Astyanax mexicanus: one gene and its partner. The protein of the gene in region 2 purifies or fractionates together with the protein of the main gene of each other region. This does not show direct contact. Links are inferred from orthologs where the notes say so. Each region holds a gene or a part of one and is shown on either strand. Other genes may lie near its edges. The genes, in order: scfd1 and nsfb.

The links.
Region 1: the proteins of nsfb (region 2) and scfd1 purify together in Homo sapiens (affinity purification with mass spectrometry; 3 studies listed by BioGRID and IntAct, with this or other methods). This does not show direct contact. The link is inferred for Astyanax mexicanus from reciprocal best matches to the Homo sapiens genes NSF and SCFD1.

The regions. Positions count from the first base shown.
Region 1 is NC_064421.1:45,535,199-45,550,443, reverse strand, and holds the start of scfd1 (sec1 family domain-containing protein 1), read left to right. Parts: upstream 1-8,694; 5' UTR 8,695-8,769; coding exon 8,770-8,800; intron 8,801-10,520; coding exon 10,521-10,591; intron 10,592-10,711; coding exon 10,712-10,800; intron 10,801-10,884; coding exon 10,885-10,975; intron 10,976-11,122; coding exon 11,123-11,245; intron 11,246-12,065; coding exon 12,066-12,153; intron 12,154-13,095; coding exon 13,096-13,185; intron 13,186-14,254; coding exon 14,255-14,310; intron 14,311-14,513; coding exon 14,514-14,599; intron 14,600-15,134; coding exon 15,135-15,234; intron 15,235-15,245. Other genes in the region: g2e3 (G2/M phase-specific E3 ubiquitin-protein ligase), read left to right, coding at 656-780, 1,743-1,905, 2,025-2,131, 2,223-2,339, 3,326-3,450, 3,606-3,714, 4,032-4,330, 5,336-5,517 and 3 more. UniProt on the Homo sapiens protein: Plays a role in SNARE-pin assembly and Golgi-to-ER retrograde transport via its interaction with COG4. Involved in vesicular transport between the endoplasmic reticulum and the Golgi.
Region 2 is NC_064422.1:43,947,287-43,963,367, forward strand, and holds the start of nsfb (N-ethylmaleimide-sensitive factor b), read left to right. Parts: upstream 1-7,690; 5' UTR 7,691-7,785; coding exon 7,786-7,797; intron 7,798-10,477; coding exon 10,478-10,566; intron 10,567-11,734; coding exon 11,735-11,834; intron 11,835-14,132; coding exon 14,133-14,172; intron 14,173-16,081.

The DNA of each region.
Region 1 (15,245 bases), on a different chromosome or scaffold from region 2:
TTTATGTCATTTTGACACCTTGGAATAATAGCACAACTGGATTTAGCAGTCTGCATGTCTGGGTGCTTGGTTTTAAAAACCTGTGGCCATGGAAGTGACTGGAACCTGAGTTCAATGATGGGTGAACGAAAACTTTTGACAATGTATTGCATGTTTTTTGATACGAGTCAAAGAACAGTATTTCAGAGCAATATACACTGTCAAAAGACATGAGCTACTATTGTGTTTTTTGAATTTTGTTATGTCCCATGGAAGATAACAAACCCTTCACTTAACTAGATGCCAATGTTCATGATCTTTATTGCCCACTGTGCTGCCCTCTGTGTGGTACTGCCTCATATGACACAGTGGAGGAATATCAAATGCCTGCAATCCATCTGGCACCCACTTTCAGACCTTGATAATTCACATCCCTTTGTTATAAACATTCTGGCAGGAGTTTCTGGCCTAACTCACTCACAATATTACACCTCACAACTTATACAGGTGTGGTAGTTCCCAAGCCACCCCTGCAGTAGCACTTCATGATCAGTTTACACAATGCTATCCCCTGATTTTTAAATGTTAATGTTGAATGCATGTTGTGTATAATGTAGGTATCTTTTTGTATGAGAAATACCCCCCAACTCTCTCTTTTTTTCCCCTGCTTATGCAGAGGTGCGTTGCCTGTAAAAAGGTTGGTGCTTCGGTAGGATGCTTTATTAAAAGCTGCAGACAGATGGTCCACATGCCTTGTGGAGTTGAGCAGCAGTTTATCTTCCAGTTCACTGACTCTTTCCCGTAAGTATATTGTTGGTACATTCAGACCAAACTGCACTTTCCTCTTTTTCTGATAAAATCTGTGACATAATGTAGTCATCACTTGAAAATGTGAGATCAGACATGGTACACGTCAATTATGCTGCCTCTGTAAAACTCTCTTTTTTACAAGCTACATGATTAATAGAACATAGCTTGGTGTCATGAATTGTCCCACCTGTTCTGACCTCCATCTAAGTACTGGTAAAATCTGTGCTTTTCCAAATACACCAGTATCTGGCATAACCACCTGTTAAGCTAAGTAAATAAAACTGTAATTCTTAGAAAAACATTTTCTTTTAAAGTCTAATGAGTGCTGAATGTTAATCTACACAGATTTCTCTCCTGCAAACTGTTTATTTGGGGGAGTAAAGCCCCTCAGTTTATTTACAGTAAGCTAAGATTTCCAGATTTCCAATAAGGCTGTGTGCAGCAGTATTAGCATTAGCAGATAACCACTAGTGCTAGCCACAGTAAGCACTAATAAATGCTGCCCGACAGAACTGCACTAAGAAACCCGGAGTGTTCCGGTAAGCCAGGGCGATATTAGCTAGCGGTTCGTCCCATGTTGCTTGTTTTAACACAGTAAACGTAGACTACAGTTCGATATGCTCACCTCTGAACGGCGAAAGAGCTAGCACAGTTAGTGGCTAATGCTGCTCCAGCAGTGCTAGTCAGGGTTAGCAGCAGGCTATTGCTTAGCGTGGTTGCTCCAGTCTCAGTGTTGGAGAAACTTTACTGAAACTCCTGTATAATGCTTTACTTCAGTGGAGTGGCTTCACTGCTCTTTACAACCTGACTGGTAAAACTCATACACGAGATGCAGCGGATTATGAGGTGCACTGGCGATTTTTTAAAAAAATTAAAGGGTTTTAGGTACACCTTAAAGCGCAGTTTATGTAAACATGCATGCTTAACTGAATGCAAAATGTTTTTTTTGCCAGGTCTTTCTGTAAAAAGCACAGACCCACCCAGACCTGCTCTTCAGTCCCCACTCTGCCTGTCTGCTGCTCCATCTGCTTGGAGCATATCGAGCCGGTTCTGTCCTACTCTGTGCTCAAGTGTCCTGCTTGTCATGGAAGTTGGTTTCATAGGAACTGTGTTCAGGTAACTCTATGAGAAGCTTGATTTGTAAAATACCTATTTACACACTGTATATTTACAGGTTATTCTGCTTAAGCAAAGTGTAGGAAATTGTAATTTTGATTTTATTTTTTTCTCCTCAGTATCAGGCACACAGTGCTGCAAAGTTTTTCTTTAAATGTACCCTCTGCAACAACAAGGACCAGTTCCAACAAGAAATGCTCAGAATGGGAATACACATACCAGAAAGGTAAGAAAAGTTATTTGAAAAAAAATAACTAAGTAATTTTTTTTTACTGAAACAGTTCTTTCATAAATATGACCTGATTTTAATCTTTCAGAGATGCATCATGGGAATTGGAGGATAATGCTTATGGGGAGCTGTTGGAAGTGTACCAGCATTGTGATGCTGTGAAATGTTCCTGTGAAAAAGGGCGAGGTTACAGTGCAGAGACAGGGTAAGTGTTTTTAACCAGGTTTTTTGATTCACATGAGTATCACCCTGTTAGCTGAAGGTGTCTTATTCATTTAGTTTATTTTAAAAAGATCAACATTTTGAGGTTAAATAAAAAATGTAAATATATTTACTTAAAAGCCAAGCTATAAAACATGTTACATGTTTATTTTAAGTATTTTTAGTCTCATCCAGATGTGAGTTTTAGCCCTAAGGACATTTTTATTGCAGATGTCTCATTTTAATAAATTAGCCTGATTAGAATTGGCGTAAGCCATGGAAATCTTGTTTTTGTTCTAGGAGATAAAATTGTATTAGGATATACATTAAGCTGTTCAAATTAGCCAATTTTTTTACTTATGTATAACTTTAATATTAATTTATATAAGTGTGCCATTACAAATCACTGAGCTCCCACAGCACCCTGCCCTATGGATCTCGTAAAGGAGAACTCCGGTGTTAAATTGATTTTTGATGTAGTTATACATGATAGAGTACCAACCTTTGTTACATAGCCCACCTTCATTCTCCCGCAGCTTTCCTAGATCCAGTAATTTTTTTTACAGTTTGTCCAAACATGCTTTAGAATGGATGATATGGGGCATATTTTGCCCCCTGCAGATAAATAGCTTTTTACACCGTTATCCAGGCTCAAAGTAGATCCACACCTCATTGGTAGAATCCGGAAAGCTCTCACATTTAAAACGAGGCATTAATAACTTTAAAACTGCGCAAGAAGCTTATTAAAAACCTTGTTGAGTGAATGATATAAGCATTGCAAGGGGATTATATAAAAATCACTGTGTTCTTTGAACACCAAATCACAACACTCACCAAAAAACTCCTCTCTTGTAGTTTTTCTTTTTATATATATTAATTAATGAATATATTAAAAGTTTCAGGAATTGTAGGGCAGCACACTGACATCATTTATTTGAACATATTTGTAGATAAACTGATGTTTTTAAAGTTCTTCTGTTGATGTTATAGGGTTTTTGAGATTGTCAGATGCAAATTCTGTGGATCCAGAGGAACCCACCGAAAATGTTCCTCCCTCAAGAATTATGAGACCAGCTGGAGTTGTATTGACTGCAAAGGTGCAGCTGAAGGAACAGGTGAGCTCACACCATCACTTTTATAAAATATAAATTATATAAATTATAATATATAAACTGAAACAGTGATTTTGGCAATGATCCTCTTTGCTTTGACCAGCAACATCATCGTATGAATATAAACATTTAACTAAACTTTTCTGTGCCTGTGACAGTGTCCACGTTGCCAACCCATGTCAAATCACCCCTGGCAAAGAGGCAAGAAAAGAAGAGATTAATTAAAAGGTGTCTTTCAAGCCTCCACTCGTCACTCATCTCCAAAAGGTACATTTGCAACAAGTTTGGCCAAACATCTTGTGTTTGAATGAAATTTCATTTTTAAATGATGGCTTAATTTTTTTTAAGCTCGCTTCTGTTTTTATTTATTTAATTTTTTTTTCTCTTTTAAATGTAACTGCTGTTATGATCTGTAATTAAAGTGCATTGCACATGGCAATCAGTGCATTTTCCTTGTGTTTTGGACAGGAGTATAATTTACAAATTTGTTGTTGAATTTCATTAATTAAATAATCTCACAACAAAGAGATAATTAGCAGCGTGTTGAAGGGTTCTTACACAGAGATTTGTTTGTTTAATTCTAGGCGCTGTGTGGATGCAGGTCCTGCAGAGATTTTAATGGATCTTGCCACTCAGTTAATTCCACATCAGACCACAGAAGTGCTGCTAAAAAGCGACCAAGTACTTGAAGCTGCCCTGCAGGCTGTGCGGCAGAGTGACTTTAACCCCTGTCACAGACTGTCTGTCAGATTCATCAGAAGCAGAGAAAGTCATAAGGTGGTGAACCAGCACCGGTTCCTCAGCCTCCTCCTGCAGGACCTACAGAACTCATGTGTTTTTGAAGGTCCTGAGGGGTCTAAAAACTTGGCCCTGAATTCACAAGGTGAGTTATTATTAGAAGTAATAGTAATGATGGCAGTAGAAATAGTAGTAGTAGTAGTAGTAATATTAGTAATAGTGCTGGTAGTAGGAGAGATGGTGGTGGTAATTGTGTAAATAATGGTAGTGGTAGTAGTAGAAATAGTAGTAGTAATAGTAACAATAGTAGTAGTAGTAATAATAATGGTAACAATAGTAGTAGTAGTGGTGATGGGGGTAATTGTGATAGTAGTAGAAATAGTTGTAGTAGTGGTGGTAGTAGAAATAGTAGTAGTAGTAGTAATGGTAGTGGTTGTAGTAATAGTGGTAATAGGAGAGGTGGTGGTGGTAATTATGTAAGTAATAGTAGTGGTAGTAGGATAAATAGTAGTTGTAGTAGTAGTGGTAATAGTAACAATGGTGGTGGTTATAGTAGTTGTATTAGTAATAGTAACAATGGTAGTGATGGCAGTAATAGTGGTGGAAATAGTTGTAGTGATAATAATGGTAGTACAGGTGGTGGTAATTATGTAAGTAATAGTAGTGGTAGTAGGAGAAATAATAGTAGTGGTGGTATTAGTAACAGTGGTGGTGGTCAGGTCATAGTAGTTGTAGTAGTAATAGTAACAATGGCAGTGATAGTAGTAATAGTGGTGGAAATAGTAGGAGTAATAATAATGGTAGTGGTAGTAGAGGTGGTGGTAATTATGGTAGTAATAGTAGTAGAAGTAGTAGTGGTGGTGGTAGTAAAAATAGTAACGGTGGTGGTGGTAGTAGTAGTACTAGTAAAAGTAATGATAGTAACAATGGTAGTGGTAGTAGGAATAGTGGTGGAAATAGAAGTTGTAATAATGGTAGTGGTAGTAGTAGTAGTAGTAATAATGGTGGTGTGGTAGTAGTAGTGGTAGTGTAGGTAGTAATAGTAAGTGTGGTAGTGGAGGTAGTAATAGTAATTGTTGTGGTAGTAGTGTCAGTAGTACTGAAGTATTAAACAACAGTTTTGCTAATGCTAATTGTGTTTTATTTGCAGCACTGAGGGATGATCTTTACTTTGAGATTGGAAGTTTGCTTTCCCTCACTCTTGTTCATGGAGCTTCTCCTGTGGCCTTCTTCTCTCCTGCACTCTACCACACCCTGTTCCATTACCCACCTGATTACAAACTCACCGTCCAAGACCTGGGAGACACCACCATAACACCCAAAGTCACGATGGTGAGTCACACTGTTTATATGTGCACATGTACAAAGCTCTGTTATAGAGTTTGTGGTGCTGTTGCTGCTGCTATGTTGATGTTCTGATACCCAGCCTTAAATCTGTTTCAGATAGCAGAATCCAGCTCGTTATCAGAGCTGAAGAAAGCAATGCGGGCTGCTTCTGAGTACTTACAAGTAGCAGGCTGCTGGCGGGAAGTCGAACAACTGGATGATAAAAACGCGCTGCTGGAGGACATTCTGAACTTTTACCTGATCGTAAGAATGGAGATGCCTCTTCAAAGGTTAGACCCTTAAATAGGAATTATTTATTGGCTTTTATGGAAGGTTTAAACTGTGGAATGTCAGTTGTTGTTGTATATTAACTAGTGATTTGATTGACTCTTTTTAGATTTCGTGAAGGCCTCAGGACATTAGGGGTTTTCGAGCGCATCCAGGCTTGTCCAGAGGGTTTTTACCCGCTTTTCTGTGACCCAGTGGAAAGGATGACAGCTGAAGCCATGTTTTCCCTTTTCACTTCGCAATTTTCAGAGAATGAGGAAAAGAAAGCAAGAGAAGAGACAACCCTGGGGTTTTGGAAGCAATACCTGCATGAATGTGAAGGTATGTATTTGTGTTTCCCCATTAGAGTTTGAATTATGTCTGTAAGATAAATCTTACTTTTATTATTATCAGGATTTTATTTTTATTTATTTTTTTATGTTAAAATCAACTAGAACTAGAATCAACTAAAATCAAAAAGAAAATATATATATATATATATATATAATCTCTAAGAACAATGAGTGAGGGAGTTTTTATTGTTTTATTAGTTGATTTTTATCAATTAATTGTTGCAGCTAATTTGTTTACCCTGCATGTGAACAAATAAAAATGTATTGTGTTTTTAAAAATCAATACATTGTTGCAAAATTAAATATTGCGATATTAGAATTATTAATAATACTTTTCTACACACCTAATAAGGTTCTCTCTCTCTCTCTTTCTCTCTCTCTCTCTCTCTCAAACTAAAATGTCTTCTCTTTTTGTTGCAGATGGACAGTGTGCAGCATCTCTAGAGGACATTCTTCTATTTGCCACCGCTACAGATGTGATCCCCGCCATCGGCTACAGCCCCGCACCCATGTTCTCATTCTTTACCCCCCTCGACCCCTCTTGTGCTTTTCCTCAAAGCCAGCCTGAAGCTAACCATCTCATTCTGCCTGTGCTGCCCTCCTACGAGCTGTTCAAAAAGCACCTGGAGTATGCTGTATGTGAGCTGTCTGTGATGCAGGTCCTTTAAAACCTCTGAAGTCTCCAGAACTTTTGGGTCAGAGATGAAATGCAGACTGTAATGGTGCTACTTGCTTACCTTTGGAATATATATCTCATCTGCCACAGCATCGTGGATGTTGGACTATCAGGAGTATATAGGCATTTGTCCTATAAAATCTCATGGTGGGAGAGCTACAGAAAAAAAATACCAAAAAATGAGCAGACTTTTGCATTATTTTCAGAACAGGTTATGAAACTTACATTTTACCTTTTTTTGTGCGAAAAAATAAAGTGTGTAACTTTTTGATTGTGATATTGGTGTGATTTAATGTGGTGTAAATAAAACAGAATGTTAGAGCTTTTGAGATTCAGAATACATATTTATATTTAAACCTCTTGCATCCTCTGTAAACATAATGTTTCTCCAATGTTACACTGTTTCTCTGTGTTCCTCTTTTCTTAGTTTTTGGTAAAAGGTGCTTTTTCATGCTTTTGTTGGTCTTGCCTGTTTATATAGTCTTGCGCAAAAGATTGGACTTGACAAGGGTGGATTTTTGGAGCATAATTTGTTCCAAATGATGAATAATTTTCCTTAAGCTGAAGATATTTTTACACTAGCATTGTACATTATGCATTTTTAAGATGTTTAAGTACATTTTATGTGAGTGCTTTTACATACTTTTACATATATATGTATACATGGAACTGTACTGCAGGAATTTTACTAAGCATTTTCATGAGTCATAAAATGATACCTTTGTAACTTCAGTTTTCCATTGTCATGAAGAATGAACCAGTAGATATCATCCACACTTATTTGTGTTATACATTGACTTCTATTGAAAGTTTAGATGTGTTTTTTTTTTTTTTTTTTTTTTGCTTATATTTACTAGTCTTTAAATACTAGGTATTGCATGTCAGTGGAGATATGTAACGTTATGCATTAAATGCAGTGCTCGTTTTCCCTCAGTTTATGTTGTTTCTGTGAAAGCTTGAGAAATATTCTGAGAATTTGTTGATATCCATAATCATTTTTTTCTGATTTGCAGGTCCGTCCTTCAGTCTTGATCTTCTGAAAAGCATGTAATGAGAAACTGTTGCCCATTATTTATTAAATACTTCCTTTCTGATGTTTGCATTGTCTTTAACTTCATAAGCTGATATTCTTTAAACATGACTATTAAAACATTATCATTGCACTAAATATAATTTTTCACAAAGAATACACTGTTATTTACATTAAAATTCAAATTACATTCTAAATATAGCCATTTTAAATGAAGTTTTATAGATTTATAGAAAGTGTGCAATAATTCTTTAAACAAAATTAGGCAGGAGCATAAATTCATCATGGAAAGTTATCAGGGGTGCCCAATTTTTTTCATACCACTGTAATATCTCAAAATAATGATTTGCTGTCTCAGAATAGTGAGATAGTATCTCAAAACGACTTACTATCTCAAACTAATGAGATATCTTAAAATAATGAGATGGTATGTCAAAATAGCAACTTAGTATTTCAAAATAACTTAGTATCTCAAAATAATGATTTGCTGTCTCAGAATAATAAGATAGTATCTCAAAGTAACGACTTAGTATTTCAAAATAACGACTTACTATCTTAAAATAACGAAATATTATATAAAAAACGACTTACTATCTTAAAACAATGAGAGAGTATTTCAAAATTACGACTTAGCATTTCAAAATAATTATATAGTACCTCATAAAAATGAATTAATATAAAAAATAAGAGCAGTTTACCTAATAAGAAAAAGGTGCACATGCTACTTAATACAGTCTATTGGTATGGTAATTGTAATGATGTTATGGTAACTGTAATTGTATTGGTAATTGTAATGGTAATTGTGGCTGCAGTATTGGTATTTACCTGTGTTATTTAGCTGCGGGTCTCGGTCTCCGCCGGCAGGTGGCGCCCCTTCTTCCTCCTCGCGCTGCCACGTCACCCGCCGACTCACCACCGCATAAATAGTAAAGATGGCGGCGTCCATCCGGGAGAAACAGACAGGTCTGTAAATGATCAGATTTTATATGTTTTCAGCTCTTTAGCTCAGTGAAATGTGTGTTAATGTGGACGGTGGTTTCTGAGGACCCGTCTCGCCTGTAGATAATTCATTAATTATTCGCGAATGTAGAGAGTTAGCCGGTTAACTGTGTTGTTAGCTCGGTTAGCTAGCTGTTAGTGTTTGTAACGCTGAACTGATTAGCCAGTCAGCGCCTTACTCAAGACAGGCTAACTAACCGGATACTTAATAAAACATTTATTTAACCTTCTGAATAAAACTTACAGACTGTCCTTTAACTTAGACTGTGCTTCCCATTTGCCTCACCTGCAGTAAACAACACAGCTAGAATAACTAACTACGTGGAACTACAGGTATCACTAGATAAACTAAATAAACAACCTTAAATGAATGGATAACGCTTAGGGTTGCCACCAATCTCTGACAGAAAACATAGACACTGTCATACTGATGGACTGTTTTTTTCCCCCATCAACATACAGTACCAATCAAAAGTGTGAACACACCTATAATTCAGTGTTTTTTCTTATTATTATTTTTAAATGTCCTGCATTGTAGATTAGCTAAAGCTAAAATAATCTAAACTATTAAGAAAGTATGTAGCTAGTAAGCAAAAAATATTTTATATTTTAGATTCTTCAAAGTAGCACCTCTTGTTTAGATGACAGCTTTGCACATGCTGGATTTTCTCAGTCAGTTTTATGAGGTAGAGTCTCCTGGAATTCAGGCTTTCAGTTAACAGCTGTGCTGAACTCATCAAGAGTTAATTACTTGAATTTCTTGTCTCTTAAAGTGTTTGAGAGCATCCGTTGTAAAGTTGTGAAGAGGTAGAGTTACAGGTATACAGTAAAATAGCTCTATTTGAGTAATGTTCTAATCCAGATTATGGCAAGAACTACTCAGATAAGAAAGGAAAACCTGCTTTAAAAAATTAAGGCCAGTCAGTCTGAAATATTTCAAAAACTTTGAAAGCTTCCTTACGTTCAGTTGTTAAGACAATCAAAACATTATGATGAAACTGGCTCTCATCAGGACCACCCCAGCAAAGGAAGACTCAGGGTTACTTCTCTTACACAGGATAAGTTCATCAGAGTTACCAGCCTTAGAAACCACAAGTTAAATGCTTCACAGAGTATTTTGGTTAGTTTAACACTTTTAAGTTACTGCATGATTCCTTATGTGTTCCTTCATAATCTGGATCCTTTACTATTCATTTACAATGTAGGAAAAAAAACATTGAATGAGAAAGTGTTTTCAAACTTTTAACTGGTACTGTCCATGCTTGGTGAAGTACAATTGTACATAGCATTGAATGTGTTATGGGGTTATGAGCCCTGAGAGAGAACAATTGGCCTTGCTCTCTCTGGGTGGGTACAGTAGATGGCTCTCTCTCTCCCCTTATCTCTCCCAGGGTGATGTTGATCAGCACAAGGCTGCGTCTGTGAGCTGATGTATCAGAACCGAGTCGCTGCGCTTCCACTGTGATGCTACTCGGTAATGCTGCATCAGCAGTTCAAAAAGAGACGGAGTCTGACTTCACATGTATCGGAGGAGGCATGTGCTAGTCTTCACACTACTGGTGTTGGGGCCATTATTAGTGATAGTCCTAATGAGTGTGTTGGGTAATTGGCTGTGTAAATTGTGGAGAAAATGGGATTTTTAATGGACATTAAGGATTAATGATTTATATTATTTACTTTTCAGCTGCCCTGAAGCGAATGCTAAATTTTAACGCCCCACCCCTGAAAAATACAGCAGCTGAACCAGTATGGAAGGTAGTATTTTTTCTTGTTTATCTATTAGTGTTTATTCAGTATTTTCCATATATTGATAATTGTGCCAGTAAGATATTGTTGCTCATTGGTTTGGTTTGTCTTTTCTTCTTCTCTAATTAGGTCCTTATTTACGATCGCTTTGGCCAAGATATCATCTCTCCCCTTCTGTCTGTGAAAGAGTTAAGAGACATGGGGATCACTCTTCACCTGTAAGGAGTTAATATACTAAAAGTGCAAGACACTTTATGATTTTAAATCTGTATGTATAAATGTATTTTTGCTTAAAATCACAGATTATTGCACTCAGACCGAGATCCCATTCCAGATGTCCCTGCCATTTACTTTGTAATGCCAACAGAGGAGAACATAGACAGGATATGTCAGGTAAGGGTTAAAGCTTAAGAATAAGATGAATTAGCTTATCAGAAAATACAATCCTGCTATTTTTATATAATTGTATCGTGCTTTATCTTGATGGTACATGCATCAAAAACATTGTTTTTCTCACTGCAATAACATTCAAACTTACAGGACCTGCGGAACCAACTTTATGAGTCCTACTACCTGAACTTTATCTCAGCAATCTCCAGAAGCAAACTGGAGGATATTGCAAGTTCTGCTCTTGCAGCAAATGCTGTGAACCAGGTGACCAAAGTAAGTCAAACTCATACTTAATTTTATATTTATTACTTTTTTCACCTAGTAACACAGTATTTTTTTCCAGCATAAAACATTTAAACTTTTTGTTTAAATGTTTGTTTGTGCCCTACTTTAGTGATCTATCGGTGAGCCGTCAACCAAGCAGCTTGATTGGCGTGAATTAAAATCATGATTCATTTTGTTAGTGCTGGAGTTTTTCCAATATTATTGTGAGGGCATAGTAATAATAGTATATTATGGTTTAGCAGATTAGATCATTTTGTACTGTATTACAATATCTGAGAGAGAAAGACAGAGGCAATACGACCGCTTACCCTGCACTTAAACCAAAAAGCGACAGGCAACCATTCATTTCCTATGACGGGGCTCGATTTTAGCGCAGCAACAGTGTGCGTTTCTGAGCACGCTCTCTGCTTGTGTGTTTGAGGCCACACTCCTTTAGGTTTTAGTTCCTCCTCTATTCCTATAGTCTTACCTGAACACTCCTCACTTCAAGACCACCACACCCATCGGTGTAGATATATTCACAAGCTCCATTGCTATTTAAACGGGGCAGGCGCAATGCGTGAAAATAGGCTGTTGGTGGGGTGTAACATAGCAATGATCATCGTGACGCACTTTGCGCAGGGTTTAAGATATTATTGTCATTATTGTCACTATTGTCATTGTGCTTATCACTAGTAATCATTTTCTTTTTAGGGGTGCTTTTCTTTGACTTTTTAGTGGTTTTGATTTTGGTATTTAATTATATATTTAATGTTTAAAGTATTTAACCAAACTATGCAAATGTTGTGCATTATCTCTCTTTCCATAGGTGTTTGATCAATATTTGAACTTCATCACACTAGAAGACGACATGTTTGTCCTCTGCAATCAAAACAAAGAACAGATATCTTATCATGGTGAGCTGTCTGCAAGCAAAAAAGAGAAGGAGTTGAAAATGTTTTTATAAAAAAGACACTATGGTCATTGTAGACTTTGGATGGCAGTGATTCAGTATGCTGGGCTGCTCAAGAAACTTGTGAACTTTGGAAGACTTTAATCACCTCTGGTGATTAATAAGTTTTTGGAGAATTTAAAAATACACATATGTTTTAATACCTGTGGTCAGAAACAGGCCACTGGCTTTAGGCCTAAAGGATGGTTAACCCAAATGTGAGAGACTTCTATCTATACGTTAGTGAGATGGCTGTTTTTTTTTTTTTTTTTTTTTTTTTTAAGTTGGTAGTAAGTCTATAGAAGCACTATTTAAACACGTCATCTAAATGGATATACTGCAGGTTTAATCTTTGCTCCTCTGAAAGCAACCTTCAGCTCTTTTCTTTATACTTAAGTTAGAATAACTAAGTGGTCCAGCAGGCTAAGCTCTGCCACTATGATCAGGAGATCGCCGGTTTGAATCCTGTTTATGCAGCTTGCCTACAGCTGCCAGAGCCCTGAGAGAGCACAATTGGCCTTGCTCTCTCTGGGTGGGTACAGTAGATGGCGCTCTCTCCCCACATCACTCCTAGGGTGATGTGGATCAGCACGAGGCGTCTGTGAGCTGATGTATCAGAACCAAGATACATTGCTATCGGAGGAGGCATGTGCTTGTCTTTACCCTCCTGGTGTTGGGGCATCACTAATGATAGGGGGGAGTCCTAATGGGTGGGTTGGGTAATTGGCTGTGTAAATTGGGAAGAAAATGGGATTAAAATTAGAAATGAATAAATAATAAATATGTTATAAGGATAAAAGTTATAATATATAGTTATAATGTTGTGAGATATAACTTTATCTTTCTTTCTTTATATCTGAGCAAATTTAAGAATGAGTGACTGACAAAGTTTCTACTTTTCTTTCAGCGATCAATAAGCCAGATATCATGGACACAGATATGGAGGCTATAATGGATACTATTGTGGACAGTCTGTTCTGCTTCTTTGTTACTCTCGGTAAGTTTTTATGTAGCATATAGACCCTGCTGTAGTTAGTATGTACAACTCTGGAAAAAAAATTAAGATACCACTTCAGTTTCTGAATCAGTTTCTCTGATTTTACTATTTTTAGGTTTATGTTTGTGTAAAATGAACATTGTTGTTTTATTCTATAAACTACAGACAACATTTCTCCCACATTCCAAATAAAAATATTGTCATTTAGAGCATTTACTTACAGAAAATGAGAAATGACTGAAATAATTAAAAAAGCAGAGCTTTCAGACCTCAAATAATGCAAAGAAAACAAGTTCATATTCATAAAGTTTTAAGTGTTCAGAAATCATTATGCATTTATCAGTGTTCCCCTCCTCCATCAGTCTTACACACTGCTTTTGGATAACTTTATGCTGCTTTACTCCTGGTGCAAAAATTCAAGCAGTTCAGTTTGGTGGTTTGATGGCTTGTGATCATCCACCTCCTCTTGATTATATTCCAAAAGTTTATAATTTGGTAAAATCGAGGAAAAACATCATTATTTAGTTGTCTCTTATTTTCCAGAGCTGTATATTCAAAAGAGTGTTTAAATTTAAATCAGTAGTATTCACTAGATGGCAGTATTTCCTTCTAATTGTTTGTTGGTGATTGAAATACTCTGTAATATAGCAATGCTGAAAATCATTATTACTATTGGAAGGTGTTAGATGGACAGTAAATTATATAGATTTTATATACATTCAAAAATCATTTATGACAGTACAAGAATGTTGATGAATTTCTTTTTTAAACATAGATAAATAAATAATAAATAAATTATTTGATCAAATTAAAATGTCCATTAATATTAGTAGATATTACATGAGATCTAAAAATAAAAAATATAAATGAAATCTAAAATGGTCTGTGGCCATGGAAAGGTTTATTACGTTTGTTTAATCTTGATTTATGTGTGTGGGTACTATAGGTCTGAACAAATGAGCCTCTTGTACGTTTTTTTTTTTTTTTTTTGCTTAGGTATAACGTGTACGTGTATATAATCGAATGTGTCCTTTATTTGGCAAGCGAGTAAGATTTTCTGTTTTTCTAGGTGCTGTCCCAATAATCCGATGTCCCAGAGGGAACGCAGCAGAAATGGTTGCTGTGGTAAGCTGCATGGCTCATCTGTCATGCCATTAAAGCCAGACTGAGTAATCATTGTTTGCTCTATACCCTGTGGAAAGACTTATAGAGACTTTATATAAAGAGTTTTATTTATCTTGGGTGTTTGCCTCAGTGTTTTTGGGTGTCCATTGTAATCAGTGTATTGTGTATTGTTGTAAATTCAGTATATTTTTTTATAATTTCAGAAACTTGACAAGAAACTGAGAGAGAATTTGCGAGATGCGCGCAACAGTCTGTTCACCGGAGATACCATGGGCGCTGGCCAGTTCAGGTGAGAAAGAGAGGGAGAGAGAGAGAGAGAGAGACACACACACACACACACACACACACACACACACACTCACACATGCACAGAGCATCTCTGACGAGATTAACATTCACATCAGCTTAAGTTATAAATCTTTGCTAAGTATTCATTCCATTACTTTTATGTACAAGAATTTAATATCCAGGACATAAGCCCCTAAGAAACTCCACAAGCCCTGCTAGCTTTTCTTTTTGCCCACGTACACCATGTGCTCACCGGAGCTTCAACTTAAATTACAAAGAAATCTTTTCCCTTGCTGGCCCTCCAGTCCGTCCTCCCTCAGAACCCAGCACTCGACCCTGGGAAGCTCAAAGAATGATCCAGAAGGAGAGATTGGTTTCATTGCTGGAGCTGAAAGCCCAGAGGGGGAGAGATTAATCATCTTGTTGTGTTTTTTTTTTCTCTTTTCTTTCGTTCTCTCCGTCTTTTGCCCTCTCTCTCTTTCTCTCACTTTTACCCACTCTCTCTTTTTCTCTCTCGCTCTCTCTCTCTCTCTCAGTTTCCAGAGGCCGCTATTTGTTCTTGCCGACCGCAACCTGGATCTTGCCACCCCACTCCATCACACATGGACCTACCAAGCCCTCATTCATGACGTCTTGGTAAGGAGACC
Region 2 (16,081 bases):
CAAAATGCAGATTTAAATACGTACTAGTGCATCTTAAAAAAATGTAATATCATTGAAAAGTTACTTTATTTTAGTAATTCAGTACAAAATGTGAAACTCATATATTATATAGATGTACTACACACAGAGTGATCTATTTTAATCGTTTATTTATTTTATTAATGATGATTATGGCAAACAGTCAATGAAAACCAGTTCAAATCAGTGTCTCAGAAAATTAGAATATTAAATAAGACCAATTGGTACTTTGGCAGTGTGGGCAGTGTGCCAAATCCTGCTAGAAAATGAAATCTGCATCTCCATCTGTCAGCAGATCAGATGTGGTTTGGAGAGACATGTCATCTGCTGGTGTTGGTCCACTGTGTTCAGTCTTACAGCACTTCATGCTTTTATAGAGATGCGGCTTTCATTTTTCAGCAGGACTTGGCACATTGCTAAAAGTACCAACTGGTCTTATATAATATTCTAATTTTTTTGAGACACTGATTTTTGGGTTTTCATTGGCTGTGAGCCATAATCATCAACAATAAAATAAATAAACACTTAAAATAGATCACTCTGTGTTTAATACATCTATATAATATATGAGTTTCACATTTTCAACTGAATTACTGAAATAAAGCAACTTTTCAATGATATTCAAATTTTTTGAGATGCATATATATATATATATATATATATATATATATATATATATATATATGTCAGCTTTTAAACACCATACTGCCTCTTCTCATGTGTTCCCTTTATTGTATGTATGGTATGTGTGGTGTGTGTGTGTGTGTGTGTGTGTACAGGTATGTGTGTGAATGTGTTTGTAAGTCTGTATATATGTGTTTCTGTTTGTATTATTTTGTCTAAACATTACATCGAATTGTCTGGATTGAAGTCTTTGTTCACAGCAGCTTATTAAACATGATTAAATTCAGTCTAAGCTGTAATAAAGTGGGCAATCAACATTTTACCCAACATACCTTTCTGACCTGTGTGGTGACTCTCGCATGTTTGCCATATTTGTCATTTGGCACGTTAAAGGACCAGACTGGAACTGGTTTTGCAGTTCACATGCTGAGATGACGTGCTGAGCTCTTTTTAAAGCTCTCTAGTAGCAGTTTAAAACAAGAAAACCATCATAAAGGGTTTATAAAGGAGTTTATTAATGCTATTTATTAGGTTATACCTACTAAAAAATCATTAAATCCATTAATTTACACTTTTATACTTCAGGTCTGTCTGGAAATTTCCATTAATTTGTCTTTTCCATCAGTCAGCATTGAACCTAGCATATATGAATATTACCCTATTTGTTAATATGTTTAATCATTAATTATACATTAGGGGTAACCCTCTTTTTCAATGCAGCCGAGCATGTACAACTTAAAGCGCTGAAAAGATACTGAAAACTAAATTTAAATTAACATAAAATTAAGTATTCAATCAGGTGAGCTAACATAAGGAACTTTATAGACAAAACTATAAAAGATAAATGATAAAAGCATTAGAAAAACAAGCAAACACTATAAGATTCAATTAAGAGGTAATATAATAATTCAAAATAAAAGCACAAGTGGACAGGCTAAAATGTGAAGCAATAAAATCAAGAAATAAATAATTAGTATAATAAAATATAGAAATAAATGAATAAAGTAGAGGGCTAAAAAATGAAAAAATAGCTAAAATAACATCAAGATTAAAAAGAAAGTAAGTGACAGAAATAAAATAAAAGGTAAAAGAGAAGATAGAATAAGTAAAAGGACAAAATAAATAAAATAAAAAGGTAAAGGGCCAAAAATAAAACAGGGAATAAAATAAATAAAATAAACAAAAAGGCTAAAAGATATAACAGACAATTTGATAAATAAAAAGACAACTGCCAATAATAATTAAACTACCATTATTAATTATTAATCTGTAATTAAATTAATCTGTAATAATCTGATAATTGTTTGTACATTCACACATTAAATGACTACATTGACATTCTACTGCATATAAGTTACCTTCATATTTTGAGCAATAGGTTATGTAATGTTTTTAAGCATTTCTAACTCATTAACTAACGATAATAATCTCTTAAAAACATTAGGATAGTCTTATTTTAAGGGATGCCAACTCGCCCTTAAATAAAGCCACCAGGCTGCGTTTTTCGAAAACATTTTAGTGTTCAGATCAGCTTTACTGGAAGAGTGAGTATTCAGTGTGAAGCTCGCTTGACCTTTTAAGAATAATGTGTTCGAGGAGCCCAGCCCTACAGTTGAGCAAGACAAAGAATTGTCTTAGAGTTTTATATACAACCCAAAATCAAAAAACATTGGGATAGCATGGAAAAAAAGATGCATTTTGTAAATATTCTACATCGGAAACAGATTAGGAAGATTGCTAACACCCTAAAACTGAGATATAGCATGGTGACCAAGGTCATAAAAGAGGTTTTCCAAAATGGATTCCACTCATAACCTTAAGTTATGTCAACATGTTCAGTGTAATATCCAGTGGTTGGCTTTTTAAAACATAGACGTATGAGTGCTGCCAGTATTGCTGCAGAGATTGAAAAAGTGGAAGGTCAGCGTGCACTGTTCAGCCCTCACGCCCCACACTGAAGCATCAACTCTGTTAGCATGGAACTGACCTAGAAGCAAGCCTCATCTGTAGCTGATGCACAAAAAAGCCTGCAACCAGTTTGTTGAAAACAAGCAGTTCAAGAGCATGGATTATCGTGTTTTAACGAGACCAAGATTAACTTGTCTGGCTCAGATGGGGTCAAGCATGTGTGGCAGCATTATATGCCATTTCCCTGAATGGGTGCTTTTTTTCTGTTCCCAGGGAATAAATGTGTAAAATGTATAAATGTGCACAAAATATTTGAAAATACCTTTTATTATTAAGCATAGACGTCTTGTATAATGACCTGATTGCAAAAGTAAGATATGTAAATAAAAACATTAATAAAAAACTACTTAGAACACTGAAATAATAGCATTTGTTACCTGTCCCCCACTCTCTAACTATACACTTTACCATGAAAGACAATTATTAAATTCCTTCACATATGTAATTGTTGTATTGTTGTGTGATTTCAAATCCCATATATGCTTTAAAAATATACACATTTCATAATAAATCCATAATATTTAAGTTAAATAATACACATTTTAGTTGTGTCCCTGGGTTTCACTCAGTCCTGTTACTGTAACACATTACACCATCTGAAACATCTGGAACATTCTACAACAGGAAATCACATCTACAACAGGAAGTGACATCATCTGGTTCTTCTGAAGATCATGGGAAGACCAAAATTAAGTTTCCTCATTAGTTTTTCTGTATATTTGATCTTAATGTAACAATGACTAAGGAGCTCAATCTCAACACTCAGTCCTGTTACTTAAATTATTTTTTACATCTAATTGCTTTATTTTTAAAATACGAATTTTGGGGAAAATCACTAGAATGTGCTCAGTGTCCTCATGCCGTTAGCATAGCCACCTTTTAGCTATTTTTCATGATTTGCTAATTCTATGTTAAAAACTAATTCCTGTTACTTTTATCTATTATTTCTATTACTCAAAACATAAAAAGTAACAGGAATGGGTGTCAGTAACAGGAGTGAGTTTCCAGTAACAGGAATGAGTGCCAGTAACAGGAATTCGTGATTTGTTGTCAAAAATATCAATTATTTGAACATGCAGTCAAATATTTCTTTAAAATAAAGACTATATTGAGAGAAAACTAAAGGAATCAATGAACTTGCTTTTAAACATGCCTTTTAAATGTGAAATGAGTTTTGTAACCATATTTGGATTAGAAACCTTGTAAAATTTTAGGTAAAGCTGCCTGTGATTGAGTAGTACATGTTTTGAATAGTTAAATACAGGTGTTGTCAGATTCAGGGTTAAAAATATATACAAAAAACAAGTTTAATATGGAATTATAATAGAGTTACAACATGCAAATGGCTCCCATTCAAATAAATGGAATGGCCCTTATACAAACTGTACACTCACCACTTTGAATTAAATCAAAGTTTCATTTCTATAGTTTTGTCCCTTGAAAAAGTATATATAAAATATATGCAGAAATGTGAGGAGGGCACTCACGTTTATTGGATACAGTACTGTGTGAGTTTGTGTGCTTCTGATAACTGGTATTTATTTGCACCTTTTAAAAGAGTCTTTGTTTTTGTATTGAGAAATGAAGGTTATTAGTAAGAGGGATTTGTGATTAAATCCCTGCTGGTGTTCATTACTCTGATGTACACATTACACAGTGATCAGTCAGTCTGATCCTCCTCATCCCTAATCTTAAAGAGATTTAACCAAACACACTGTTTCTGCAGACGGTCTGAGACTAAATTTACACTCCACGGGGCAGTTTATCAGACAGGGATTAAACCTGCTGTCTTTTAGAATGGTGGGTTTATGGGGGATAGTTTACAGTAGTCTATGACTGGGATTATCCCTGTCTGGGAAACTATACAACTAGCAAACTATCAATATTAGTAAATCAGTGTTGGATAATTGCTGTCTGTATGCTAAACACAATTATCTGTTGTAACATTATGTAAAGAATTTGCGAATGAAGTTGTTATATTACGAGATTAAATTCTTTATATTTCAAGAATAAAGTTGTAATATTAAAAGAATAAAGTCTTTATATTTGAAGAATAAAGTCTTTATATTACAAGAATAAAGTTGTAATATTACGAAAATAAATATATTACAAGATTATATATATTATATTACAAGAATGAAGTCTTTATATTACAAGAATAAAGTTGTAATATTAAAAGAATAAAGTATTTATATTACAAGAATAAAGTTGTAATATTACAAGAATAGTCTTTATTTTACAAGAATAAAGTTGTAATATTAAAAGAATAAAGTATTTATATTACAAGAATAAAGTTGTAATATTACAAGAATAGTCTTTATTTTACAAGAATAAAGTATTTATATTACAAGAATAAAGTTGTAATATTACAAGAATAGTCTTTATATTACAAGAATAAAGTTGCAATATTACGAGGATAAAGTTGTAATATTATGAGAATAAAGTTCTAATATTACGAGAATAAAGTCATATATATACTTTTTTTTTGAGTGGCCCTAAAATGCCTTCATACACTCTAAGAAATATAAGTACAGATTTGTACTTAAAAGAGTACAAAGCTTGTCGCTGGGGCTGTACCTTATATTGAGGCACAAAAAAGTACCTTTCAGTGAAAGTCCTTTTTTGTACCCATGGTTTTTGTGGCAGTAAAGATTATAAAGATTATAAACATTATCATCAACTGAATATGGCTCAAAAACTTGATGATACAAAATTGTCTGGCTTTCAAATAAAAAATGTGCAATGTAAATATATATTGTTTATTAGTACAGTGATGCAGAATACTGAATGTACCTTTTGGCTGCAGGTTAAATGGTACAAATTTGTACTTATTGCTGTTAGAAATGACTTTGTACTTCAGAGGGAACAAATCTGACCCCGTAAAGACCAATATTGTACCTTTGAGTGTACAATTATAAAGAGTGTACCTTCGAGTACAAAAAAGTACTCATATCGTACCTCTGTTTTTTAGAGTGTAGTGAAGAGCTACATGCTAAATTAATTAATGCTAACGTTAAGTTTAGTGTTTTTAATCACTGTCATTTAATTTTAATGTAATTTTAAACTAAACAGGAGTGAACATTAAGTTACACTGTGGGTCACTCTGATTTGCTGGTTAAAATATAATGTAATAAGCAGAGTTTTTCAGGTGGAGTTTAATCCTGATGGAGTATAAACTGTGATGAGGATGTTAAACTGAATTATTGATGTATTTATAAACGAGCAGTAGCCTTAACCGAAAATCATATGAAAACGGTTTATAGGTTTTATAGAAAAGTGTTTCTTCTGCTTTAGTCTGTAGAATATACAGCATTTCAACACCATTATTTTGCAGCAAATTTAAAGATTCTATATGTTTTAAGTGTGAAAAGAGAATATAATAATAATATAATATTTTGTTTATGAAATGTTTAAAAACAATTAAGATGTGAAAACGGTTCTGATTATTTTTTCTGAATAAAAACTTAACTGAACGTTGATTTTACATTAAATAAATATTAAAATACTAAACAGACTCTTATTTTGGTAGGTGCGTCTTTTATTTTGATAATCCAGTCTTCCGGTTTGCTGGCAGCATGAGCGTCATCCAGCGGTGCGTGTGGTTGTGGTTGTGTGTAGTGTGTGTGTGTGTGTGTGTGTGTGTATGTGTGTGTGTGTGTGTGTGTGTGTGAGTAAACAGAGAGCATATACAGAGGAGAATACCTACTCTATACGTTAATAATACAGAGTTAGTCGGACACCAGAGGGCGCTGTCGAGTTCAGAATGAATGGGTTTTATGGAGCAACTGAGCAAAATGTATTCATAAATGTTTATTAAATTGAATATATATATTTATATATACTGTAATTTATACATCTTTACTGCATAAAACCTATTTATCGTTAAAATATATAAATATACAGGTAAGTTTTCTTTGTTGCTTTAGTGAAATCTTTTATTCTACTTTATTTTTAAATCATAGGTTTATTGGGTTTTACAATATTTGCAAAATACAACAATTTACAGTGTCTGAGGAAACAACGCTGCCTAGAAATCCAGCTGGTCACTCCAAGAAAACACCCTATTCTGGTCTAGAGCTAGTTATGTATGTACATAATTGTAAGTATCTCCATTTATTACTCTTAAGTTAGACATATAGATACTTGAGTTTAAATTACTTCAGTAGAGTTTGAAGTATTATTGTTTATTGTTTAACTAATCTTCTTATTGTGAGTATCTGCGTACCAAAGTACACAGACACACATTATCCTCGCCTATAGCACAGTTAAACCTGAGAGCACGCTGCAGGCAGAGGCAGAAATAACCACAATAAAAGTGTTTTTTTTTAAAGGTAAGGAAATGTTTCTAAAAATGTAAAATGTATAAAGGACTGGTATGTTTCACTACTTTAAAGAAAAACATTTTATTAATAACTATTACTATTAATAGAAAAAAATGATATAACGTTAGGGTTTAGTGGCATTTTCATTTGATTCTTTAAATTCTAAGATAAGATAAGATAAGATAAGATAATCCTTTATTAATCCCACAATGGGGACATTTGCAGTGTTACAGCAGTACGGAGGAAAGGACAGAGAATCAGGTCAGGAAAAAATATAAACAAATAATGATAAATCTATTTATACAAAAAAAAAAAAACTATTGCAGGAAAATATATAAAAGATACTTAAAAAATTATATATAGTAAACAAAATATATATATATATATATATATATATATATATATTTATTTATATACATTTAGTGCATAGAGATATGATTATGGTAGGGTGGACCAGTATTATTGCACAAAGAGTAGCAATGAATAAATATCAAATAAATAGTAGATAAAAAAAAAGGTGAGAAAAATATTGATGATAAGGGATTACAGTACTTGTAGTGAGATGGATACAAAATTATTACAAAATATACAAAATTATTTAAAACTTTTAATAACTAGATATTTTGATAACTTTATTATTCTTTCTAAAATTAAATGAATATACTGGATAATTAATTAGTTAATATTTTTAATTTGTGTTTTTGTTGTTTAGCTCCATTCACTCCCATTCATTTTGGTCTCCCTCTCCAGCGGCCCCTGTCGGTGGGCGGTGATGTAGCGTTATAATATCAGTGGGCCGGCTCTCAGTAACCCGGCTGTGGTTTGGGCGCTGGGGATCGGTAAAGGCGCAGTCATGGCTGCCTGGGTGAGTAAATTTATTATTTATCGGAGTTTATTTAGTGTTTCTGCTGTACGGAACTGTGTGGGGGGGAACAGCGGGGTGAGGAGCTGCTGTTTAGCGGCCTGGCCGGGGGATCAGCTCGGCTCGGTGCAGGGGAATGATCCGGAAGGAGAGCGGAGCGGGTCTTATGACTGTCTGTGTGCTCAGCTGATTATTAATATGAATAAACTCTTAATTCTGCTTTAAAAAGCGTTAAAATCACCGTTTACTGCAGTTATAGCAAACACACTGATTACTGCAGCTCCAGTTTTACACCACAGAGTTTTAGGGCCATTAAAAAAGAATAAAACAGTTGAGTTTACGATTAAAGTGGTAATATTGCAATATTAAAGTCGTATTGTTGCAAGATTATGGGCGTAATATTACGAGATCATAGGCGAGATATTGTGTAAATAAAGTTGTAATATTGCGAGTATAAAGTTGTAATATCATAAGATTAATTTGTAATATTACAAGAAAAAGTCGTTACATTACAAAAATAAAGTCGTAATATTACGAGATTGAAGTCATAATAGTACACAATTAAGATCGTATTGCAAGATTATAGGCATAATATTGTGAGATTATAGTCGTAATATTTCAAGATTAAAGTTGTAATATTGCAAGATTAAAATCATAATATTGCGAGATTAAAGTCGTAATTTTACAAGAATACAGTAAAAACATTATGAGAATAAAGTCGCATTATCGGAGATTAAATTTGCAATATTGCGAGATTAAAGTCACAATATTACAAGAGATAAAAGTCATAATATTGTGAGATTAAAGTCGTAATATTGTGAGGTTGTGAAAGTTATAATATTACGAAAGTAAAGTTGTAATATTACAAGATTTTAGTCCTGATATAATGAGATTAAAGTCATAATAAAAATTATAAATCAAATAAATTAATATTTTTAGATTAGACTTCATTCATTATAGATTTCTCATGAATGAGAGCCAATTGAAATGAATGTGCTGGCATGTGAACATTGTTTAAAAACATTGATTTTAAAAATAAAATAATTGGATAAAATATTGTCCAAACTAAACTTGTTATAATGACAGACCTAATTTGAGGAGTTAGATAAGATTTTTAATCTAGGGAATGGTTGAATTCGGATTATTTATTTATTTATTAACTGAAGTAATATTTTAAATCTCTAAACTATTATTTAGTAGAAAAGCTCAAGCATGTTGTATCTATTATTAGCATTTCAGTGTATATAACTATAAATTCTGACAGTTTATGTACGTTCTGAAGATATAAATGGAATGAAACTGAGTGACCTGAGTTTTACTTCTTCACTGAAAGAAGAGAAAGTAAAAGAGGATAAACTGCTTTAACCAGCTATGATCAGTTCCTCTACTGCAGAACAGCGTATGTAAATTAGTAAAACAGGAAAAAGATTAAAGTTGAAACAGTAAATCTAGATTTGTTTTTTTGTTGCTGTCACTTACGAATGATTAAATCAGCATTTAAAAACATGCTTCCTCTTCTAAGTGCTGGGGATGTTGAGAATGTTGGTCAGGTGCCTGACACTTAACACGCAGTTTATGCACTCATTGACCTTTGGACATTTTTTTTTGGACATTGTGTTGCTAAAATTATGATTTATTAATCTTTTTAAGATATTGTAGGGATTTTAAATTCTGTGATGGTCAATGCAGGAAAGTACAACAGCAGTGTTATCAGAATCCCCCTCAAAGAGGCACTCTCGCTAGTTGCTGACAGTAGCATACAACCAGACTGGAACATGTTCAGCAGTATCCATGCACACACCAGCTGTTCACTGATCATGGAAACCACACACCAAAACCTCAATGTATTCATTATATTTGCTAATATTGGATTTACTGTGTTTGTCCTTACCTATCTTAAGTTTATTTAACTGAAATAAGTTTTATATGGTTATATTTGTAGCCACGCTCTGTCTAAATGCAGTTTTGTGTACTGTGAAAGAGACGAGGCCCATCATGTTTTGTCATCTTGGTCAAATACGCTTGGTTTAATTGTAGAATGCAGTTTATGTGCAATTTGAAATTTCTTTTTAGGTTGGTTGTTGTGGGATAGTGGCGGTGTTTTTTTTTTTTGCATATGTTCAAATTGAAACATTATTTTAGTGATATAAAGTGTGGGTTAAAGTGGCAGTCTGTATTATTTAGTTTCTAAACTGAAAGCAGAAGCATTTCTGAGTGGAGAAGAATATGGATAAAATATAGTGTTTAATGGTACCAGTGTGCTGAAACCACCATCCCTGCTAAACCTAACTATATATTAATTCTAAAAACTGGGGTGTCGGGTCACTTTTCGTGGGAGTTTATCTTCTTCAGGCCAAGTCACGCGTCTTTACGTACTTACGTCACACGTACAGCCTCTAAAAGAGATTCCAGCTCAGTTTTACTGAACGCGAGAGGCTGGTGGAGCAATGGAGACTTCAGAAGAGGAAACTCAGAGCTCAGTAGCTCATTCACTCATAGTAAAACCACTCATAGTCTCTCTCTCTGACTGAACGTAACCTGGAATCGGATTCACCTGCCTGGTTTAAAATTATTCTCTTTTGCGTCTTGTATTCTCCAGTAAAATTCCATCATAATCTGAACTCTGTGTATAATTTATAAGGTCTAATTTTGTTTTCTTGTTTTTGTTTTCGTTCCCATCCAGATGACCATGCAAGCGGCGCGATGTCCGACAGATGACCTGTCGCTGACTAACTGTGTGGTAGCGAATGAGAGGGATCTAAAGTCTGGCCAGTGAGTGTTTTATATATATATATATATTCATGATTATTAAATATATACACACAGTTTTTTTTCACCAGATGTTATAAACAATACTATAAAGAAAGTGTTTCCCAACCTCGTGGGTCAGGGTTACTATATTACGTTAGGTACTTCTACCTCTACACACAATTATAATACTGTGGGATTCCCCAAGGATCGATTTTTGGGCCTTTATTGTTTAATCTTAATGTGCTTCAATTACCTTTTGTCATTAGGTAATATAAAAGAAGTTATTATCAATACGCAGATGATACAGATGTAGTGTTTACTAATTTTATACCATGAAATAAATAAAGAAAAGACTGACGCTCTAGTTATCAGAAGTGAGACACAAAGAAATGATGTTCAGATTGTTTTAAATCACATGCATTTAAAGGCCAAGCAATGTGTTTAGTTGTTTAAAATTTAGTTTTAAATCACACGTCATGGCTTACATCGCTATGGTTCGAGACTTTATTTCTCCTATAGATACTGAGAAGCTTGTTCATGCATTTATTACTTTGAAATTAGATTATTGCAATGCTATTTAATCTATTGCACATCTTCAGCAAGTCCAGAATATATATGTATTAAATATATTAATACTGTAGCTCAAAGGATAATTTTAATGCAAACTGAACTGAATGTATTTGTTAACTGGAGGAAAAAGGGAATTGTGATAAACTAATAAGCAGCTATATAAATACTGTAATGCCTCTAATGGCTTCAAGAATAAATACTTAATAAATACTTAAATACTTAAACATTTTGAGTATTTTAGGTTTGTTTATAGGGTTGATGGACCTATTTAAAATATATATATATTTTTAAATAAGCTGTGTTAAAGTTGTTGGCCTATCTCTTTTTAAAGTCTATTGTTCACATACTTCAGCTGTTTTTCTGATAATAAAGTCTGATTTTATTACTCCTAACAGTACAGTTACTCACAAACCTATATAAAAGCCCAGACATGCAAAAAAAAAAAAAAAAACCCTATTAAAAATAATAATAATAATAAAAAATACTGTGATATACAGTGAATCCTTCAGAATCTTGAAAAACGCTGTGATTTATATTTTTGTCATACTGCCCAGCACTAATATATTGCATTGTGTTTAAAGAATGAACTGTAACTGATGTAGTATTTTATATTTTCTAGACATGTTATGATCAGGACCACGCCCACTCATAAGTACGTGTTCACTGTAAAGACGCATCAGAGCGTGGTGTCTGGAACCATTGCCTTCAGCCTGCCTCAGGTATCATAACATTTTACAAATCTGACTTCTGTCTGCTTTATTACTAAATATTACTACACATTCCTGTCTGTGCTTAATTGCTTTTTTTTATTACCCTATTTCACACTATAAGGAGCACCGGATTATAAGGCTCATTATGCGACACTAGTAAGGAACAGGGGTGTCACCATGTTCTCCTTCTAATTCAGCTGTAAAGCTGAATTATTTACTGTAATTATTAAAAAAAAGATCTTTAAAAGTTAAACAAGCGCTGGACGTTAATCTACATAGATTTCTCTCCTAAAAACTGTTTATTTGGGTGATTAAAGCTTTTCTGTTATTTTACAGTAAGTTTAGATTTACAGATTTAGCATTAGCAGCAAGCTGTTAGTTAACTAGTTAGCGCTAGTAAATGCTGCCCGATAGCACTACACTGAGTAACCCTGGTAAGCCAGGGTAGCTAGCGGTTTGTCCGACGTAGCTTGCTTTAACATAGTAAATGTGCTGACTACAGTCTGATATACTCCCCTCTAAATGAAGAGCTAGCATTTAGTGTGGTTAGCGGCTAATGCTAATACTGCTCCAGCAGTGCTAGCCGGGGGTTAGGATCAGGCTACAGGCTTATAATACTCACCTCTGAACGGTGTAAGAGCTAGAGCTTAGTGTGTATAGCGGCTAATGCTAATACTGCTCCAGCAGTGCTGGCCAGGATTAGCAGCAGGCTATAGTCCGATGATACTCGCCTCTGAAAGGTGAAAGTGCTAGCGCTTAGCAAGGTTAGTGGCTAATGCTAATACTGCTCCAACAGTGCTAGCCGGATTAGGATCAGGCTACAGGCTGATAATACTGATCTCTGAACGGTGTCAAAGCTAGTGCTTAGCAAGATAAGCGGCTAATGCTAATAATACTGCTCCATCCTTAGTGCTGGAGAAACTAGAAACACTAAAAACTCACCCTTATAGCTCTGTACTTCAGCGAAGTGGCTTTACTGCTCCTTAATACCTGACTGGTAGAATTCATACATAAGGAGCACCAGATTATAAGGAGCTCTGATGATTTTTGGTAAAATTAAAGGATTTTAAGTGCACTTTATAGTGCGAAAAATACGGTACTACTTTATATTATTCCCTGCTTTATCTCTACTAAAATTATAATTATTATTATTAAACTGACTAAATCTAAGCTCTGGTTATTCTGTCTTTCTCTGTAACCCATCTGTTCTGTGTGCTTATTGGGTGCAGAATTAGACTAATATAGAAAGTGCTTTTTTATGGCTTTATTTCTGTATGTTTTTCTCTTCCCTTTCTGCTTTTTTTTTCTACGCTGCATGCTTCTGTTCTCTCACTGCCTCTCACTGTCTCTCCTTCACCTGTAAACCCGGCAGCAGCCAGGCCTCTCAGGTACTGCAGCTACTTCCTCACACTGGCTCAGATTTACATCAAACAAAGGTGTAAAAGTATCTCAATTCATTACTCTGTAGGTAGAAGTATAGATACTAGAGTTTAATAAAATATTTCTGTAGAAGTTGAAAAAGTATCAACTCAAGCTTTTTACTATTTAAGTAAAAGTGTAAAAGTACTGGTTTCAAAGTAATCTAAGTATAAAAGTAAAAATAATGTAGGAAAAATAAAGCTATTAAGAACAAAAGCTTAGGCCTATGGTGCACTACTAAATATATACTTGACACCTCTGACAGCAAGATGCTGCACTATTGGCTAAATAATCTGATAAATATCCCTTTATAATGAATGCTAAAATAACATTTGATGTATAATAGAGCCATTTGTTAAGAGACGGTTATATATTGGTGTTTGTGTTTATATTTAAATGAATATGTTTTATGTATTTCAAATATTTGTGGTTTAGACCCGTGATTTTAAACTTCAGTCCCCACATGGACCCACATCTTTGCATGATATTGCGTGATATATATGATGTGATCTATTGTGATACATGTATCATAATATACAGGTGCATCTAAAAAAATTAATATCATTGAGAAGTAACTTTATTTCATTAATAAAGGAAATTTGAGTATTATATAGATCAATAGGTACTTTTGGCAGTGTGGGCAGTGTGCCAAGTCCTGCTGGAAAATGAAATGCATGCTTATAGCATGAAGTGCTGTAAGATTTTGTGGGAAAACAAAACTGCACTGACTTTAGACTTGATAATAAAACACAGTGGATCAACACCAGCAGATGACATGTCTCTACAATCCAGTTCCGGGTCCCCAGGATTTGAGTTTAATTACACTAGTTTAGGTTGTGATATGTAGTAATTAAGATTCATGTGTAACTCTTTTATTTTCTGTCTCAGAGGAAATGGGCTGGCCTCGCTCTCAACCAAGATGTGCAAGGTAAGAACCGTTCGACTGTACCGTCAGTTTTATTTGCAGTGCAAAAAACAGGTTTTGCAAAGTGAAGCCATATTAAATCTAGATGTTTTTAAATGTCTAATGTTTCTTATTTTGAAATTGCTGCATGAACATTTTGCTGCAGAACATTAATTCTCATTTTTTGGATTGTTTTGGTTGTATGTAACTGTATCTCTAGATTTTAAGCCTGAATATGTTAAATTTACTTAAATAATTTGAGGAAATAATTTAATAGCCTTTAATAATTTAATAGAAATTAAAGTTATGTTTACTGAAAACCTTAGTAATTTACCATAAGTTATTATGCCTAAGTTTTAAGTTAATTTTATTGAATTCTTCTGTATAGTGTACAGCCAGCACAGAGTTAGCAGCTTAGAAAAGGATGCTTGCTCTTACAGCCTACAACACAGAGAGAGTCCAGGCCAGGCCAGTTATTAATAAATATGTATGATAATATATTAGCTTTACCTAAGGTAGCCTTGGGGAATGACTACACACTAACAGTGAGTGTCAAAAATGGGGGGACACACTCAAAAGCCAATAGAAAAGAAGCGAAAAAGGGCAACAGACTAAACTTTTTACAAAAATTATTATTGAAGTAAGTTGATTCAACTCAACTGAGTGTAAATGTGGCTACACATGTTCATCCAACTGAAAGTAGTTGGATAATGTTTGGAAATTCATTTTTTTAGGGTTTACAGTGTAAAATGTCCAGTTGTTTTGCAAATATATGTTTATAAAAGCATATATAACTAACTTTTCTCTTTTCTAGTTATGTAATTGTCATAATTAATATCACTTCAATAGGCCTGAAAATAGAACCCTGTGGGACTCCACAAGATATGCCAAATCAAATGCTTACCATATAATACAAACAATCCCAATTACAATAGTTTCTGCATTAGCTCTTAATAATAAACTAAAAAAAAACTTAACCCTATGGACCCCAGGTTTATTAGACATAAAGAACATTAAGGAAGACGGTCATCTGATATTAAATGTAACACTTAAAGCAGTCACAGGTGATCTGATCACTTTTTAACTTGCTGTTTGAGTTGAGGAACGTCAGGAGGAAGTGATTGGTGGAGCTCAGAGCTCTCTGAAGCATGTAAATCTGGAACAGGTTTGATGTGTAAATTGACACCAGCCCATATAGTGCTTTAAAAACCCATAATAAAACCGTACGCTGAACTTTAAGACTAATGGGGAGTCAGAGAAGGCTTTCTGCATTAGATGTAATATGATCATATGTTCTGGTGTCTGGAAGTTCTGGAGCTGCTGCATTTTTGGCTAACTGTAGTCGTGCTAATGATTGAATTGATTTACCTTTTCTGGCTCATTAACTTGAATAAATTGTTGATTTTTTTTGAGATGCGTAAAAAAAAATGTAGCTAATGTAGTTCCAGACCATGATGATGGATGACCTTGCACATCTCAGTTTTAAGATGTTAGCATTCTTCTTATAGCCTAGAGGATCTTTATATAGAGCAACAATACTGTTTCTCACATCCTCAGAGTGTTCTTTGCCGTGAGGTGCCATGTTAAATGTTCAGTGGCCAGTATGAGAGAATTAAACCCAAAATACGACATTTAACAGCCCTGCAAAGTGCATTTAAGTATATATTCTTTAAAGTATACTTAACATGAAAAAGTACATACTTTCAACATTAAATTAATATGTACTTAAATACATACTAAATGTACTATTTTGGAGCAACTTATGGCAATTTAAGTATATTTCAATTGTAAGCTACAACATAAAAGCGTTAACTTGTGCTTTTGAGTTCTTTTTTGTGTATCTTCTGCGAAGTTAAGTAGATTTAAGTTTGTGTGTTTTTTAAACATAATGTTTAATGCAATTGAAGTATACTGTAAATGTACTTCTTTGTGT